Linked DNA regions of Macaca fascicularis. The protein of the gene in region 1 interacts with the protein of each later gene in a pairwise test. Links are inferred from orthologs where the notes say so. Each region holds a gene or a part of one and is shown on either strand. Other genes may lie near its edges.

What was found.
Region 2: the proteins of GOPC (region 1) and DPYD interact in a two-hybrid assay, tested with the Homo sapiens proteins (2 studies listed by BioGRID and IntAct). The link is inferred for Macaca fascicularis from reciprocal best matches to the Homo sapiens genes GOPC and DPYD.
Region 3: the proteins of GOPC (region 1) and CCDC102B interact in binary tests that used the Homo sapiens proteins (3 or more experiments, as listed by UniProt). The two-hybrid records come from large-scale screens. The link is inferred for Macaca fascicularis from reciprocal best matches to the Homo sapiens genes GOPC and CCDC102B.
Region 4: the proteins of GOPC (region 1) and VTN interact in binary tests that used the Homo sapiens proteins (3 or more experiments, as listed by UniProt). The two-hybrid records come from large-scale screens. The link is inferred for Macaca fascicularis from reciprocal best matches to the Homo sapiens genes GOPC and VTN.

What each region holds. Positions count from the first base shown.
Region 1 is NC_088378.1:21,560,949-21,565,181, forward strand, and holds the start of GOPC (Golgi-associated PDZ and coiled-coil motif-containing protein), read right to left. Parts: upstream 2,813-4,233; 5' UTR 2,592-2,812; coding exon 2,307-2,591; intron 136-2,306; exon of another isoform or gene 60-135; intron 1-59.
Region 2 is NC_088375.1:136,472,205-136,476,491, reverse strand, and holds the start of DPYD (dihydropyrimidine dehydrogenase [NADP(+)]), read right to left. Parts: upstream 2,923-4,287; 5' UTR 2,811-2,922; coding exon 2,772-2,810; intron 2,544-2,771; exon of another isoform or gene 2,324-2,543; intron 1-2,323.
Region 3 is NC_088392.1:11,861,844-11,866,151, forward strand, and holds the start of CCDC102B (coiled-coil domain-containing protein 102B), read right to left. Parts: upstream 2,923-4,308; 5' UTR 2,821-2,922; exon of another isoform or gene 2,550-2,820; intron 1-2,549. UniProt on the Homo sapiens protein: During interphase, forms fibers at the proximal ends of centrioles to maintain centrosome cohesion. During mitosis, dissociates from the centrosome following phosphorylation to allow centrosome separation. Contributes to CROCC/rootletin filament formation.
Region 4 is NC_088390.1:33,829,545-33,833,898, reverse strand, and holds the start of VTN (vitronectin), read left to right. Parts: upstream 1-1,432; 5' UTR 1,433-1,536; coding exon 1,537-1,600; intron 1,601-1,693; coding exon 1,694-1,813; intron 1,814-1,888; coding exon 1,889-2,233; intron 2,234-2,311; coding exon 2,312-2,451; intron 2,452-2,711; coding exon 2,712-2,868; intron 2,869-3,067; coding exon 3,068-3,220; intron 3,221-3,682; coding exon 3,683-4,030; intron 4,031-4,253; coding exon 4,254-4,354. UniProt on the Homo sapiens protein: Vitronectin is a cell adhesion and spreading factor found in serum and tissues. Vitronectin interact with glycosaminoglycans and proteoglycans. Is recognized by certain members of the integrin family and serves as a cell-to-substrate adhesion molecule.

The sequences.
Region 1 (4,233 bases):
TCTGTTGACAGAATACCAGAAACTAGGTAATTTATAAATAAAAGGAATTTATTTCTTACAGTTATGGAGACAGAGAAGTCCAAGGTCGAGGGGCCAGATCTCGAGAAGTCGAGAGCCTTCTTGCTGGCAGGGGATCTGTGCAGAGTATGGAGGCAGCATAGGGTGTCACATGGCAAGGGGGCTGAGCATGCTAACATGCTTACTCAGGTCTCTCTTCCTCTTCTTATAAGCCACCACTTTTACACTCCTATGATAACTCATTCATCCATTAATCCAATAACAAATCAATCTATGAGTGGATTAATCCATTCATAAGAACTGAGTACTCATAATCCACTCTCCTGTTAAAGGCCCCATATTGGAGATTCAGTACTGTCACATTGGGGATTAAGTTTCCCATACACGAAATTTGGGGGACACATTCAAATTATATCATGTGGCAAAAGCTACTTTTGATCGTTGTTGTTTAAAGCTAGAGAACTAATGACCGGGCACAGCTGGCTCATGTCTGTAATCAAAGCACTTTGGGAGGCCGAGGCAGGAGGGTGATCACTTGAGGCCAGGAATTCAAGACCAACCTGGGCAACAAAGCACTCCATCTCTTTTTTTTTTAAATACAGTAAGATAAAATAAAATGAAATAAAGTTAAAGTACTATTTCTATAAAACATTAAATGTAATTTCACTATCAGAATGAAATCAGAAAAATAGCTTTCTTGTGAAAATTAATACTAATAAAGAAATCAAGAGATGTTTTCATTTACCTACAGTAAGAAGTGATTACCTTCATATTAGCACTTTTTTTTTTTTTTTTTTTGAGATGGAGTCTTGCTCTGTCACCCAGGCTGGAGTGCAGTGGCCAGATCTCAGCTCACTGCAAGTTCCGCCTCCCGGGTTTACGCCATTCTCCTGCCTCAGCCTCCCGAGTAGCTGGGACTACAGGCGCCCGCCACCGCGCCCGGCTAGTTTTTTGTATTTTTAGTAGAGACGGGGTTTCACCGTGTTAGCCAGGATGGTCTCGATCTCCTGACCTCGTGATCCGCCCGCCTCGGCCTCCCAAAGTGCTGGGATTACAGGCTTGAGCCACCGCGCCCGGCCATATTAGCACTTTCTAATCTTTTCAAAAAGGATAGAAGAAATTAACAGTTCTTGCAGTGGAGAAGAGCCACAATTCTTGGATATGTACATCTATGTTAATCAAGGATTAATTATGCCACATACTTCATGGCTAATAGGAGAAAAAGAATGCTGACCACTAGGCAAGGAGAGGATGTTTATCTGACATTCATATTGATATAGATACAATGGGCACTCTCAATGACAACGAGTAATGATTTCTTAGGAAAGCTAATGTTCGAAGAGTTTTGCACATCACTGATTATCCCATTTTTATCTATTATACTTTTTGAAAAGAAAGACCCATTCTCTTAAATTGCCTAGTTAGAAAATACTCTTTATGCAATAATGTTAATCTATCTTGATTTATAAATATTGTAATAATGCCCTTTTTAAATTTTCTGCACAACGTGATAGTTTTTTGTTTTGAATCACAGCCACTCCACCCTCACCCACACCCAGCATCAGAGATTAAAGCAAATGATGCTTTATACTCTCTCAAAAATAAATCTAGACTTTGGAAAATTACACAGTAATGTACAAGCATATAAAAACTCAATGTCAGAAGTAATTTCAATAATTGCAGGAAGCTCTCTGGAGGTATCTGCCTGTAATTTAAGGACCAACTATGGATGTAAACCGAGACAATGATACTATCGTTATGCACCACGAAATTTTCCTAAGAGCTTTGATCAGATTCCCCTAAATAGTTTATGCATGTCTCTGTATGCAGTAATAGGCGCTGACCTGAAATATTTAAAATGAAAATAATCAGGGCTGTATCTGTCTGAACATATACAAATTCGGTTTATCAATGTGAAAGTAGATCTGCAAAACTCAATTGTCAAAAGGTGGCCTACGGTATTTTCATGACAGAGAATCTTTGTTAGGTTTGTTAATGTAACACGTAAAAGGGGGGCTAGTGTATGTAATTAGTTTCCGCCTCAGAGAGATACTAGGAAGGTGGACGACAGTACCCCGGGGAGACTCACGTGTCGGTCTAGGGCCCTTTTTGTCCCCCACCCTCACCTCACTCCTCTCCTTCGCACACACAGACATGCACTCTCCCATCACATTTGGAAGCCCCGGTGGGCAGTTTTCTAGGGTCGTTTCACTGGAGCGTTAAATGGGATCTGACGCCACCGGGCAGCCCGGGGTTGGATGCCATAGCCGCCAGCGCCCACGGCTCACCTCCAGCTTGTGGTTGATTTGAGACACAGACTGGGCTTTGTGGCAAAGCTGTGCAAAGCAGGAGCTCAGGCTGGTCATCTTCTGTCGCCCCTCATAAGTGATGTCCGCCTGGTCTGGATCGATCTCGCCCAGGAGCAGATCCACATCCACAAAAGCCTTGTCGAACTCCTTCTCCAGCACCTCCAGCCACCGGAACATGGATACCCCGCCGGGGGCCCCGGCGGAGCAGGAGGCGCCCCCTGGGCCCCCTCCGGCTGCTGCTGGGCATGGACCGCCCGCCGACATGGCGCCGTCAAGGGCCTCTCCCGACTGCTGAAGACCCTCTCCGCCCCACCCGCACGAAGGGAACTGCTGGGACTGAGGGGACCCCCCGCGCGCGCGCGCGCACCTTCCGTCACCTCTCTTCACCTCGCGCCGTTAACGCCAGCAACACAGCCACAGAACCGCAGGAGTAACGAGGCTGAGGCTGAGGCGGCAGCGGCGGCGACACACGGAAGATTCTGTCTGTCCCACCTCCCAGCTTGCCCCCGCTGCGCATGCGTAGCGAAGAGCTGGGCGGACGCAGCCTGGAGGGACAAAATGGGCGGGGCCAGGATGCGACCTTGGCCTATGAAAGGCCTCAGCTTGGGACCTGCCTGTTAGCCGCCATATTAACAACTGGCAAACTACGGCTTGAATCCCTGAGAAACGGAGCCGCGTGGTTTCTGCATCCTGGTTGGAAAGGCCCGAGGATGAGAAAGGTGTCCACGTCGCAGAAAGGAAGGATTTCCGCCGGTTTGACTTAACAGTTGGCGGGAGCTATTCCAAAGTCCTCCCAGAAAGTTGCTGCGGTGGCGTCTAGGGTCAGGGAGGGGAGAGCAAGGAAGGGCGGTGTGAGCATGCGCAATAGCCACGTTTTACCTTTTGGATTCCAGTTCCTGGTTAGGATGGAGTGGGCGTACACCCTGGCTGTTCTTGGTAAACCAACCCCAAATTCCAGGTGTGGACTGCCTAACGCTGCGCATTGAAGCGGCTGACCAGATTTTGCGGAATTAATAGAAAACTTTTTGTATTGTGATTAAGGGTCAGGTAGACCTGGTGAACGTTCAGTTCTTACCCTCTGTCACATACTACCTGTGTCACCTTACATGTCTTAGTTAACCTCGAAACCAAGTTTCCAAATTTTACTTAACTCAGTTAGTTGTAAGATAAACTCTTAGCGTCACTTCTTGGCACACGGTATTCCTCTTAATACGCCATAGGTCACACATTTCAAAAGCAACTACAGTAGTGCTTCACTTAAGATGGGGATATGTTCTTAGGAATGTGTCCTTAGGTTAATCATCCCCTAGGGAACATCCTAGAGTGTATTTAAACACAAACCTAGATAGTATAGCCTACTACACACCCAGGCTGTATGATGTAGCCTATTGCTCTTAGGCTGTAAACCTGTACAGCATGTTGCCATTCTGAATACGGTAGGCAATTACAATACAGTGGTAACTATTTGTGTATTTAAACTTACCTAAACATAGAAAAGGTACAGTAAAAACATGGCATATACTCTTATAGGATCACCATAGTTTATGTGATCCATTCATGGCTGAAGCCTTGTTATTTGGCACATTTGAAAACGTACGGCGTTCCCACACGTGACATTTCAGAAAATCAAAATTGTGAATTCATATATTTACAAATATATTGAATGCAGAACTCTGTTGCGACACTGAAGACACAAAAATGAATGAGACATGACCTTTACTCAAGACAGGCTAGTGAGGCTACTAACTCTCAACTATAACTTTAACTTGAATTTTTCAGTGCCTTTAAAAGTATTCAGCAACTCCTCCCTTTACATTCTGCCTACTTCCACTGCAAGGGTAGACAATCCTAGAAAGGGAAAGAGAAACCTATGTGATTAGAGTAGGCTGGTGGAAACTCCTGCATT
Region 2 (4,287 bases), on another chromosome or scaffold:
TTCATTGGAAGTGATTTTCCTGAGAATAAGATATATTTTTCTGTTATCTTTATTTTTTAACATGTTGGCCTTTTTTTCCAACAAGATGTTGTCAACTTATGACATTTGTTGATTATCCTTACTATTATTATTTTCCTTAGCAGATTTTCCATGTGCAATTCAGAGAGGGTAGGTAACTTGCCCAAACACACAGCTTAAAGTTAGACCTCAATCAGAGGCAGTTGGTTTCAGAAGCCAGGCTCTGAACCACATTAATATACCTGAAAAAAACTTGATTTTTCATGCAACTTCTATGATTACAACAACAATAATTCTGAGTAGATGAGCTAGGTCCTATCACCAAGTAACATATCCTATCCTTGCCTATCTCCCAGTCCATGGATATTCCAGCTATGGATTTTGGTGATCTGATTGTTTTCCATGTTCCTAACCCTCAAATCCTGAGGGAATATTGGATTCAGACTAGAAATTATGAAATAAGCACACAAAGCACCTTTATATATACCTCAATAACTTTTCCACCAGAAACAAAGATATTTCTTGGCTGTTTCACTGAAACATGAGGTTCTGTAGTTAGCTCATAGAGAAAAGTCAGTTACTATTAGAGTAGGTTGTTATCACCTTCTGTTCTTTTAACAATTGTCAAGTACTTTTCACATTTATCAATGTGTTCTTATCACATTCATTAACCGCTTCATACCAATATTTTAAAAATATTACTTGCTTATCCATGTATTTGAAGCTAAAACAATGATCACAATCAGATCAATCTCTAGACAATGGTTGTAATGAATTTGTTCAAGAAAAGCATTCAAATTTGATGGAAAACTGAGCCTTTATAATTCATTCTACTTCTTCAACACAAAAATGAACTTTGGTGAGTCAAGAGGATCAACTGAGGCATTTATGCTTGAATGTGCTCCCCTAGGCTTAATGTATTTTTCCTCACTGCATTATATTTTAATGATTAATTTCATGCTCTTTCATGGTGTTTCAGCTCATGAATCACGGGTATTACTTTGAGGGAAAAGTAAGGTGCTGTGAGTGATGAAAGATGTTACTGATTAAAGTGTTGCACATATGAACTACATAAGAGCTGAAGGTGTTTGAACACCAGGAATCTAGACTAAAAGTAGTATTAGGCAAACTGGCCGTGTGGACTAAAGTTGAATTCAGTGGAGGGAGTGGAAAGGATGTGATTCTTAAATGTTCTTAGTTGAAACAATATATGAAATCAAGCTGGGCATTCAATGTTTCACTGGCATCTTTCTCCTCAGTAGAATGTAAGAACTGATTTCAAAGACAACTGCAGAGAAAGAAATCAGTTAAGCAGATAACACACTATTCTGAAATTAAACAGCCAAAAGCCACCCATCCTAAGACAACTCTGATATCTGAAATCAATACTGCCGTAATACTGCCAAAAGTTTGTTTTTCAACTTATTTAAAAAAAAAAAAAAAGTTAAGTCAAAGTCACAAGGACCAAAAAGGAATAGACTACCCTAAATGAAATACAGAAAAAGACAAGTATCTCTTATCCTGCACACAGATGAACAAATATCTGCTAAATATATCATATTGCTCAATATCAAAAAGTCAACTCTCCATAACAGAAACCAAAAGTAAACTAACTAGAGATGTCTACATAATACACTTTGGCTCTTGTTACTAAAATGATTTTTCAAACCAAGTTAGGGAGCTGGAGAAAACAGGACTACCTCCTCCCAGAATATAAAGTTTCTTCAATCAATTACAGAGGCAAAATGTGGCCACAGCAGCTATTTTGCAAACAGGTGGTTTGCAAAACTTTTACTTAAGCCGCCAAAAGGACTGACGAAAGGAAAATTTTGTTATTTCTAAAGAAAACACCCACACACACACATAATTTTCTACCAGAGTAGAAGACTCAAATAAAGAAAAGCCCCAAACAAAACGGAAAACTAAAAAGCAGTTTGTCTTAGCTCAAAAGTGCTGACTTTGGTTTAGTATGTGTAAAATCACTGTTTATAATTAAATCCTTTTCATCGCATGTATTAAGGTACTAGAGAGAAAGGCAATGCCATGTCGTTTCAGGTAGGACCTTATTTACAGAAAAAAAAAAAAAAAAGATGATTTTTTTCTTTTTAACAGAAACGGAGTGCAAGAGGGAATCAAAAACCGTTGAGAGGAGAGAAAAATACATTTGTTTTTCTGAGGGCACTGCATTTTTCATGTTCTGAATACTTTGTTCCACTCTCTCCATGTTAAATTATTTCATAAATAATACTATGGCTAGAGGCGACTGCTACAGCTGACACACAGATGTTTTATTTCTATATTTCACCTTTGCAAACAGCAGGATTCAGCTCCTGGAGATGGGGGCAGTGGAGAGGTGTCCAGAAACGACATACAGGAGGTGAAGGGGTAAAACGTGTGGGAAACAGGAGCTCCTACCCCCTAGAGTCCACCTCTCTGGAATTCCGGTGCTTCTTCAGTCACTGACATTCGGGGCAGGACAAGACATGATTCCTGAAATCTCTTCCGAAGTAAACAGGTCCCGACGCAAAGGGCACCCCCTCCAGTTGCGGAAAGTCCTCCCCTTCGCTCCCCGCCTGCCCACGCGGGTCTCTGGCTCCGCGCTCTTCCGCCTCCCCCGCAGATCTCCCACGGGGGAAACTTTCCCGCGTCTCTCACTCTCCAGGCCGCTGTGGCCGCGGGGACCTCCCCGGCACCGACCAGCAGGGCACCCCCCACCATCCCGCCACCACCGACGAACCAGGCGAAGTCCGTACCTCGATGTCCGCCGAGTCCTTACTGAGCACAGGGGCCATGGCAGTGCCTACAGTCTCGAGTCTGCCAGTGACAGACCCTCCTTGCGTCCTCAAGCTCCAGCCAGAGAGCCAAGTGACAGCAGCCGGAGCGCGAGTGGAAAATAGGCAGACTAGGGCCGGCGGCGCGGGGGCGGAGCGGGCGCGGAGCGGGCGCGGGGCGGCAACGCCCCCGGGGCGGGGCTGCGCGCTCGGTCCTGCGGCTCCCGCGCCAGGCACAGCAGCCGCAGTCCGGCCTTCCCAGTTCAGCCCGCTCCGCGCCCCAGCCTGGAAGCTTGTTTTCCTTCTGCAAGCGGAAGGGAGGGAGGGAGTACAGCACCCGCTCCGGGGACTGGCCTTTACTCTCTAAACTGCTAAAAACTGAGCTAGGCAGGCGGGGCCAGATACGAGGAATCCCCGGGATTAAAGGTAAAAGCAGTCCGCGCTCCAAGCAACAGCTTGCACTTTTTCTTTTCTTCGGCACAAACCCCGCGAGATGTAGATACATTGTCGGAGGGGCAACTGCATCTTCAGGAACTCCTCAGGGATGAAGTAGTAGATGTTCCTCCATCCATCCACCAAGTAGGCGGGCGGGGTTTGAACTGCAGTGGAGGATAACAGAGCATGGGTCTTCAGAGAGTTCACAGTCCCTGCGGGGAGGGGAGGGAGGCGAGCAAAAACATCCACAGCCCGCAGCAGCATACAGGAAGTGCCGCAGGTGGTACATAATCAAGGTTGTCTTTTTGCAGGAAAATCCCATTTTAATGGTCATTTTTAAAAATATATTTTTATTCTAAAATGTGAAGCTCTTTTGAAAAGTTGCTCTTCATTTTTGCTCCAGAGCTTGCTGAGGAAAAGGGAGAGATTTCCTGTAGAGTTGGTCCCAATCCAGAAAACATTCACCTTGTTTTTGAGGATCTCTGTACTCCAGACCTCTCTCCTTTTCTTCCCGTCCCACCCCCGTTAGATGCATCCCACATCTCTTCTACCATAACACTTTCTGTTAGGACATTTGCGGCACTCCTTCATGCTTTTGGCTAGACAGTGACACCTTGGAGTCAGGTATTTTTCCCTTATCATTATTTTTTCATTAGGTCATTCATCGCTTTATTCAACAAATATGTTTATTGAGCATTTTCAATATGCCAGTCACAGACACTGTGCTAGGTTCTCCGGATATAATCTTCAGGAATACACATCACTCTCATGGAGATTATACTCAGAATAAGCAAGTAAGCAAAATGTGATGCCTGCTTGTAAGATGAAAGAATAATAGGACAGAATAGCTAGGGCATGGGTACCTTAAGTGGTTGAGAAGGCTTCTCTGAACCATCAGATTGCCTTCCAGACCTGGAACTTACTAAGAAATGGATACATTTTTCTTGAATCAAATATTAAGAGACACTAGAAAGTTAAATGGAAACCTTAGAATCATCTTTGACTCCTTTATCCTCATTGCCTCATTTAATCTATGCCCAAACTCTGAGGAGTCAACCTCCCA
Region 3 (4,308 bases), on another chromosome or scaffold:
CATTATTATGAAATAAGCTATAATTTTAATTTCATTGAAAAAAGAAGAAGAAAATGAGTGTTATTCCAGACACTAATTCTACTCTGAGAAGAAGTAAAGCAATGTGTTTAAGGTTTGGATATATGAAGAAAAACATGTTAATAAATAAGATCTATTCTTTTTTACTTTGAATATACTGTATTTTACACTATCTATTACAATGTGAATTTTATATATGCTTTTCACCCATTGAAATGAAACTTATACAATGCCTTTACTTGATAATAACTTGGTGATTCCATAGTTTTAAGACTATTTGGTCGCTGTGTGTTTGTTGATATCACATATCAAAAAGAAACAGAGGAAAGTCAGTGCATCCCCAGTGTCATTCCTGGCCACCTCACATGTCTCATTTGTGAATAGGTAGTATTCAATGCAAATCAGTGATGACATTTTCTCTGAGAATGCAAAAGATAATCTTCTCTAAGTAGATTTAAGAAAATGTAGGAGATAGAAAAGCATAAGTGTTGAATATGAGAGCAGCTAATTTAAATGTAAAAATTACCCCTTATTTGCAGTGTCAGTCTCTCTTCTCTCAATTCCCAAAGGAAATGCGTGGCCCAACTGACAGAATGGTGATTGGTCTGGATTTATAGAATATTGGAATGGATCTTTGGACTGTTGTCTCACTGCCTCCTCCCTGCACCCTATAATCCCGATGTCCACTTCAAACCATTCTGCTTGACTTCTGCCAGATTCACATTCCTAGAATACCAGTACAGCATAGTGGAAATAGCGCTGGAGCCAGAAATACATCTGAAATTCTGGTTCCCTCACTATCTTTATCTGTGGCTTTCAGCAAATCATTGAACATTTCTGAACATCAGGTTCCTTCATGTGCAAAATGAAAATAATGTGTAAAATATTGTTCATTTTATTGCATAGTTATAAAAATTGTGGATATGTATGTAAATCATCTTGCATGCAGCAACTGCTATTATGTATTGGCAAAATGATGATGATGATGGTGATGGTAATGATGATGAAAAGAGGCACAGAAACTCCATCTCTTTTCAGAAACTTGCAATTGGACCCTTTGTATGATATGTAAAGACCAAATTTTTCTGTGTGAAATGTTAAGATGCTCTATAAATTTTTCCTGCTCTATGTATTGAGTACAATGTCTGCTACTCACAAAGGCATATTTTTTCTGCTCCAATCAATGAATTACTCACCGTTCTTTTGTGCTATGTGCTAATTCATGTTCAAAACCCTTTTTGCCAATTACTTGTTCAAAGTAGAGTATTCCTCTTGCTTTCAGCACCTATCCAAGTTCTACTAGTTTTTCAACACTCAGTTCAAGAAGTTGAACTTTTCTTTAAAGGCTCTGGCATCTCTTTAGGACTGATATACCTGCTAAAAAGGGAATTTCTGAATATTTTGGCATTATGGCAGAATTCAATTGGTCTTGTAATATCAGCATAAGAGATATGATGACCTGAGATCATTTTTTGTATTTTAAGAATTACAGCCATAGTTTTGTGGCTCTAATAATTAGATAAAACAATCATAAATTATTTTGAAGCCACGCCCATAGTGAGGCCCAAAAACTATGTCCCAGTGATCAAGCAATTATTGACTCCAATGATAACATATGAAGTATGCAAAAGAGAGACAATGAAATGATCTATGATTTCATAAGAACATATGAGATTTTGGAAAATAAAGCAATTCACATAAAGCATTTTTCTGAATATTTTCAAATACATCACACAAACCTACATAGATACTGTGTCACTAACTTATAAATATTTCTCTCTAATTTATTGTTTTCATTAAAATATGAAATAGAATTCAGGAATATTTACTGGATATATAAGAATATTTATTGTCAATAACATATTTTACTAACAAGAGAATATTTACTCAAAAGTTGTAATAACACTATTTCCCACAAAAATGATAGCAAAAACACATTCACATTATTTTAGAAAACAGAAAAGCTGGCATTGATGTAAATAAGAACATCAATAAATACTTTATATATTTTGGTGCCTATGTTACTGACATATTTCTAATTACATTTTTAAAGAATCTTTCTTATATTGAATAAATGTACCCACTTGACACTCAATTGATAATTTATCTTTGCAGAAAACATAAGCAAATGCTTCTCGATGGTTTCCAGAGATTTTTTTCAGTTTTACAATTTATTTCTATATAACTAAACATCATTGTTATTATGCACAGGATTTTATTAGTTTATTCTGTATCCCTATCTCCTCCACATTATACACGTAACACGTAAAGAAATCAATATTCGTGCTAAGTTTGAAATATACTTTCCATTAATGAATACAATAATTTAGCATGAAGACTCAACAAATGAAAAGAACTCAAGGCACATGAGGCATAGATAGAAAGGTTTTCATAACACTTTTACTTTTTTACTGTAAGAATATAGATTCCTTCAAACACAATGACTAATTCACATTCATTTGGAACTATGAAACAAAATTTTAATATCAACATACACTATTGCTGTCTAAATGTAGAGTTGAAATTCTTACCTGAGTTTGGCTTAGTATACAGTTATTTTTTAAAGACAGGAAATGTATGACAAATTGTCAGGATGATAACACCCACAGTGGAAAAATGAAAGAGGAAAGGAAGAAATCACTTTAAAAAGAAACTCCAAATCCTTCTGCTTCCCAGCTCTACAGTAGTTTTGCTCTGCATCTTGTAAGCAACTGTCTTTGCTCCGAGAACAACACATGCTCTGCCTCAGCAGGAAAATATAAAAATTAAATAGAAAACCACAAGGTTATTAAACACTCTTACCCTCTGGGCTTGCTGGGCTGCTCCAGCGTCTCAGTTGCAGCCACATGTGTAAACAACAGAATTTCCTGCATCCTTTTCTCATCTGTACAGTTCTGGAGTCCTAGCCAACAGGATTATTTCCAGCATTAAGGGCACTCCACACAAACTCAAAAAAGATTCCCATTGGTTGTGAAATTTTATTGAAACCACTACCACAACCCCCTCTTTGGATCACCATTGAGCCAACCAAAATAAAATCATTTTTAATGTTCCCTAAGTATGGTTATCCAAAGCTTTCCATGCAAGCATTTGAAACCTGTACTGTGGATGAAAAAGAAAAAGACACCCACGCCTTCATCCCCAAGTGTACTTAATGTTTAATTACAACAGTATAACTTGTAATAATAATAGAAAAAACTAAAATAGCAAAGCAAAATAAAAGCCTAGAAAGTACCTATCTGCAAAATATTTAAAATAATTATACTGCAGATTACAAGAACAATATAAAATATTCATCCAATCTGATTTGCATTAGATTGCACAAAATCAAAAGCAAAAGAAATCATATTTAATAAAAGATTTGAGTATACAAATTATGAAACAAGAACTGTATATCAAAACCCTTGATCGTGGTCACATTGGCAGGAATGTGAGCTGTAGTCCCTGGGGTGCCCAGTGAAAGCTCCCTGGCTTTTTCCCCTTTCCCTGGGGAAAAAGAATATGAAGTAGCTTTCCAGTGACATGACTCGGCTGTCAGGAGGTGTTCTGATGGGGGTTGTCGGGGGAGGTCAAAGACCGCATAAAAGAGAGCTTCTGTGGTTGAAACTAGCAGTAAAAAATGTCCAAAGTAGAAAATAAAAAGTCAAAAGGTAACAGGATTGACTTGCTCCTTGTAAGTAGCACAAAAACAACATGTGAAATGTAGGCAATAATGTCTTCAAATTGTTTTATTTTTCACCCTTCCCTAATTTGTAGGCTTATTCTGGTGTTATCGTCTATCTCTACTTAATATTCTTTTCCCACTTACTTTCTGATGCAATGGAAAAAGTGGCCAGCTTCCTATATAAAGCCAACTGACCCATTCGAGCTAAACTTAATCATGATTCTCGCTCCTCTATCTTTGAACATTCCCTCTTGTCCGGATTTTCCCCACGAGATGTTAAATCCCATACATTCCTTGGTCAATTTCATGTATGCCGATGAACTTTACTTTCAATTCAGTCATTTTCACTTTCAGGTACCATTCCTTCCATCATGGCCAAATGATTGAAAGTTCTCCAGCCAAGAATTTTATTTAGTCTTGCATCCATCTGATTTTAATTCATCAAAGTGACTACACACACATACACACACACACACACACACACACACACACATGCATGCACATAAATATTCTATTTATTTTTAATTTTTCCAATTCACCTCAATCCTTCTTCTAGTTGACATCTACACAGCCTTTCATACTGTTCACAACCCTGCCCACATGAAGACATCTCTTATCTTGGCACA
Region 4 (4,354 bases), on another chromosome or scaffold:
CCAAGATGCAGGGAGTGGGCGAAAGGAGAGAGAGAGGAGGCGAGGGATGGCTCCGGACGCCGGAGGGTAGAGGAGGCGGCGGCTGGAACAAAGCGTTGCCCGGGCAGGGGCTCGGCTGAGCTGGGAGATGCTCGGCAGCAGCCACGCCCTGGAACCGCAGCGGACCCGGGGCCGATGCCCCGCCTCTGGGTCCAGCGGGGCTCCTCCAGCCTCCTGCGCAGCCCCACCCCCAAGTCGTCCCCAGCCACGCCCACGCCCCTGGCCAGCCTTTCCCAGCCCCTCAGTCGCAGCCGCCTCCTCCTGCGCTGGACTTGGAGGAAGGGGGTCGAAAATGAGATGACAGTCTCCGTTCTCCACCTCCTCTTCCCCGCCCCGCGTGACACCAGTACGTGGGAGCAACACCGCTGCGTGCCCCCTCCCTACTAAGTGGTTAAAACAATCATCATAACTCTTAAGGCCCTTTTATGCCTGTTTCTCAGCTAGACCTCACAACATGCCTCTGGGGTGGGAATCGGTGTTCCATTCCACAGCTGACTCCACTGAAGCCCATGAGGAAGAGATTGGCCAAAATCACAGTCCCCTCTGATTACAGAACAGAAAAATCAGCTAAAATCTCAGGATCACTTTTTTTTTCAGGTGATGGCAGGACTTCAGAAGCTCTGTGGACACCTGAAATTGGGCACAAAATCAGGTGTTTCACGCCAGTGGGCATTTTCCAGGTAGAGGGATCGTATTTCTCTTGAGAGTCTAAAAGTGTGAACAAGCCCACTCTTTACAGATGGGAAGACTGAGGCTGGGGACAGGGAGTGACCTGCTCAGAAAAGACTCAGAAATCAAATCTAGTTCAGTGGGTTGATATTTACCCAAATTTCCAGCCTGGGGAGATTGATGCACCCAAGCGAAGAACCCAGAAATGAAACTTTGTTCTTTTATGCTAAAAAAGAAAATTCCCCAGAGTGCTTACAAATTCTCCTCCCACTCCCTTTTTCCTGCCCTAAATAAACAATGGCGAATGAGCACCCAGCCAGGGATGTGTCTGATCAAACAATCATGGATCAATAGCCATGTTTGGAGAAGGAATTTGTGACTGCTCCAGCTACTGGGCATTTTGTCTGTTCCAGTTCATGTAATCTCCCAACACCCCATGAGGCAAGGGGGTTAATCCCATTTTACTGAAACTGAACTAAGACTCAGAGAGATAAAGCTGTTGCCCAATGAGCCTTCTTTCTGGCCTCCAGATCCGCGGTGCTAATTCCCCTTCTGATGACCTAATGATTCTGAGCTTGGCAAAGGTCTTATCTCCCAGCTCTCCCAGGCCCAGTGTTCCAGGAATGTGACCTTTGCTGCAGCAGCCGCTGGAGGGGGCAGAGGGGATGGGCTGGAGGTTGAGCAAACAGAGCAGCAGAAAAGGCAGTTCCTCTTCTTCAGTCCCCTCCCTCCCTGTCTCTGCCTCTCCCTCCCTTCCTCAGGCATCAGGGAGGAGACTTCAGGGAGATCAGAGCCCAGCTTGCCAGGCACTGAGCTAGAAGTCCCACCATGGCACCCCTGAGACCCCTTCTCATGCTGGCCCTGCTGGCATGGGTTGCTGTGGCTGACCAAGGTACAGGGGGGTGTTGGTGGCCATCTGAGTCAATGTAGGGAGGGTGAGGGTGGCCCGGGCTTGGCAGCACCTACTGACACCCCTTCCTCAAAGAGTCATGCAAGGGCCGCTGCACTGAGGGCTTCAATGCTGACAAGAAGTGCCAGTGTGATGAGCTCTGCTCTTACTACCAGAGCTGCTGCACAGACTATACGGCTGAGTGCAAGCCCCAAGGTGTGTTCAGAGCCCAGGTGGGTGGGCTGGGGTGCCCCTTGCAGCTGGAGACTCACTACCATCCACTCTCTGCAGTGACTCGTGGGGATGTGTTCACTATGCCGGAGGATGAGTATGTGACCTATGACTACGGTGAGGAGAAAAACAATGCCACCATCCATGAACAGCCGGAGGGCTCCTCCCCGAGCCCTGACCTCCAGGCCCAGCCCGAAGGGAATCCTGAGCAGGCAACTGTTCTGAACCCTGAGGAAGAATCCCCTGCACCTGAGGTGGGCATCTCTAAGCCTGAGGGGACGGGCTCAAGGCCCGAGACCCTTCGTCCAGGGACCCCTGAGCTCCCAGCAGAGGAGGAGCTATGCAGTGGGAAACCCTTCGACGCCTTCACCGACCTCAAGAACGGTTCCCTCTTTGCCTTCCGAGGTGAATCCAGGGCAGGTATTGGGGATGGGGGTCTGCCCCAGGAGCGTCCCCGCTCTCACACCACCTCCTCCACTGTAGGGCAGTACTGCTATGAACTGGATGAAAAGGCAGTGAGGCCTGGGTACCCCAAGCTCATCCGAGATGTCTGGGGCATCGAGGGCCCCATTGATGCCGCCTTCACCCGCATCAACTGTCAGGGGAAGACCTACCTCTTCAAGGTGCCAGCAGCTGTGGACCAGGGTAGAAAGCATCTAGGGAGGGTTTGAGAGCTATTGCTCCCAGGGACAGGGTGGACAGGGAGGCTGGACCCAGGGCGCTGCAGGACCTGGTGGGCGCTCTGTGAGCACAGGGCAGCCCCAAGACTCCAGGTCCTGGGCAGTGAACCTGAACCTGGGAACGGCTGCCTTAGGGCAAGGGACTCTGCCTCTGTGCCTAGCCAGCAGCCTCCATACCCCTTTTCACTTTCCCCACCTCTTAGGGTAGTCAGTACTGGCGCTTTGAGGATGGTGTCCTGGACCCTGATTACCCCCGAAATATCTCTGATGGCTTCGATGGCATGCCAGACAATGTGGACGCAGCCTTGGCCCTCCCTGCCCATAGCTACAGTGGCAGGGAGCGGGTCTACTTCTTCAAGGGTACTCAGGGGGTGGGTGGGAGACTGAGCAGGCAGTGGAGCAGTCTTGGATTCCTTTCACACTTCACTGGGGACAGGCCTCAGCATGTGCCCACCCCATACCCCCACCTCATGCTGGGAGATCCTAACTTCAACAGCCTCTGGGATCTCCAGTCTGGCTCTGGCCCAGCCCTCCTAATGCCCACCACCCCGCTCCCCAGGGAAACAGTACTGGGAGTACCAGTTCCAGCACCAGCCCAGTCAGGAGGAGTGTGAAGGCAGCTCCCGGTCGGCTGTGTTTGAGCACTTTGCCGTGATGCAGCGGGACAGCTGGGAGGACATCTTCGAGCTTCTTTTCTGGGGCAGAACCTCTGGTATGGAGAGAGGGCAAGTCTTTCTTCTCCTTCAAAAGGGCTGAAACCCCTGGCTAGTGGTAGAGCCAGGTTGGCTGGAGGGGGCTGTGGTTGTGGAGCTATCGATCAAAGTCTATTTGCTCAGGCCAGACTTTGCTTCTGTTGACCTTTTGGGGGAAGCTCGGCTCTACCTGGACCCCACACCTTGGACTTTGCCTAGCACAGCCGAGGGCACAGCCAGCAGAGGGAGGGGCTATGGCTGAGGAGTTTAGGGGGCCTGGGGGTGGGGTGGGGTCTAGACACCAGTGATATGGTGGAGGGAGCACACAGTGAAGGGCATTGGACTGAGAATCAAAGGCCTGGCTCTGCCATTCGCTGCTGTGTGTCTTTGGGCAAGATGCAGCAGATGAACTCTAATGACCTTGCTGGAGGGGGCAAGATTCAGACCCCTAAGACCTCTCATTCACCCCTTCCCTGCCACAGCTGGTATGAGACAGCCCCAGTTCATTAGCCGGGACTGGCATGGTGTGCCAGGGCAAGTGGACGCAGCCATGGCTGGCCGCATCTACGTCTCAGGCATGGCACCCCACCCCTCCTTGGCCAAGAAGCAAAAGTTTAGGCGTCGCAACCGCAAAGGCTACCGTTCAGACCGAGGCCACAGCCGTGGCCGCAACCAGAACTCCCGCCGGCCATCCCGCCCCACGTGGCGGCTGTCCTTGTTCTCCAGTGAGGAGAGTAACTTGGGAGCCAACAACTATGATGACTACAGGATGGACTGGCTTGTGCCTGCCACCTGTGAACCCATCCAGAGTGTCTTCTTCTTCTCTGGAGGTAGGAGCCCTTGCCACCCCTGAAGCTGCTCTAGCTTGGGTTTTCCTTGCTGTCCCTGGTCCATAAGGGCTGAATACAGCCCGCAGGTAGTGACCACAGAAAGCCGGGCCAGAAGTCCTTAGCTGCATCGTGGATGTTCACTTTCCTTTCTGAGACTTTCTTAAGGGAAGAGTGGGCAGGGCCAGGCTGGGCCTCACGCACCCTCTGCTTTCCTCTCTTCCAGACAAGTACTACCGAGTCAACCTTCGCACACGGCGAGTGGACGCTGTGGACCCTCCCTACCCACGCTCCATCGCCCAGTACTGGCTGGGCTGCCCAGCTCCT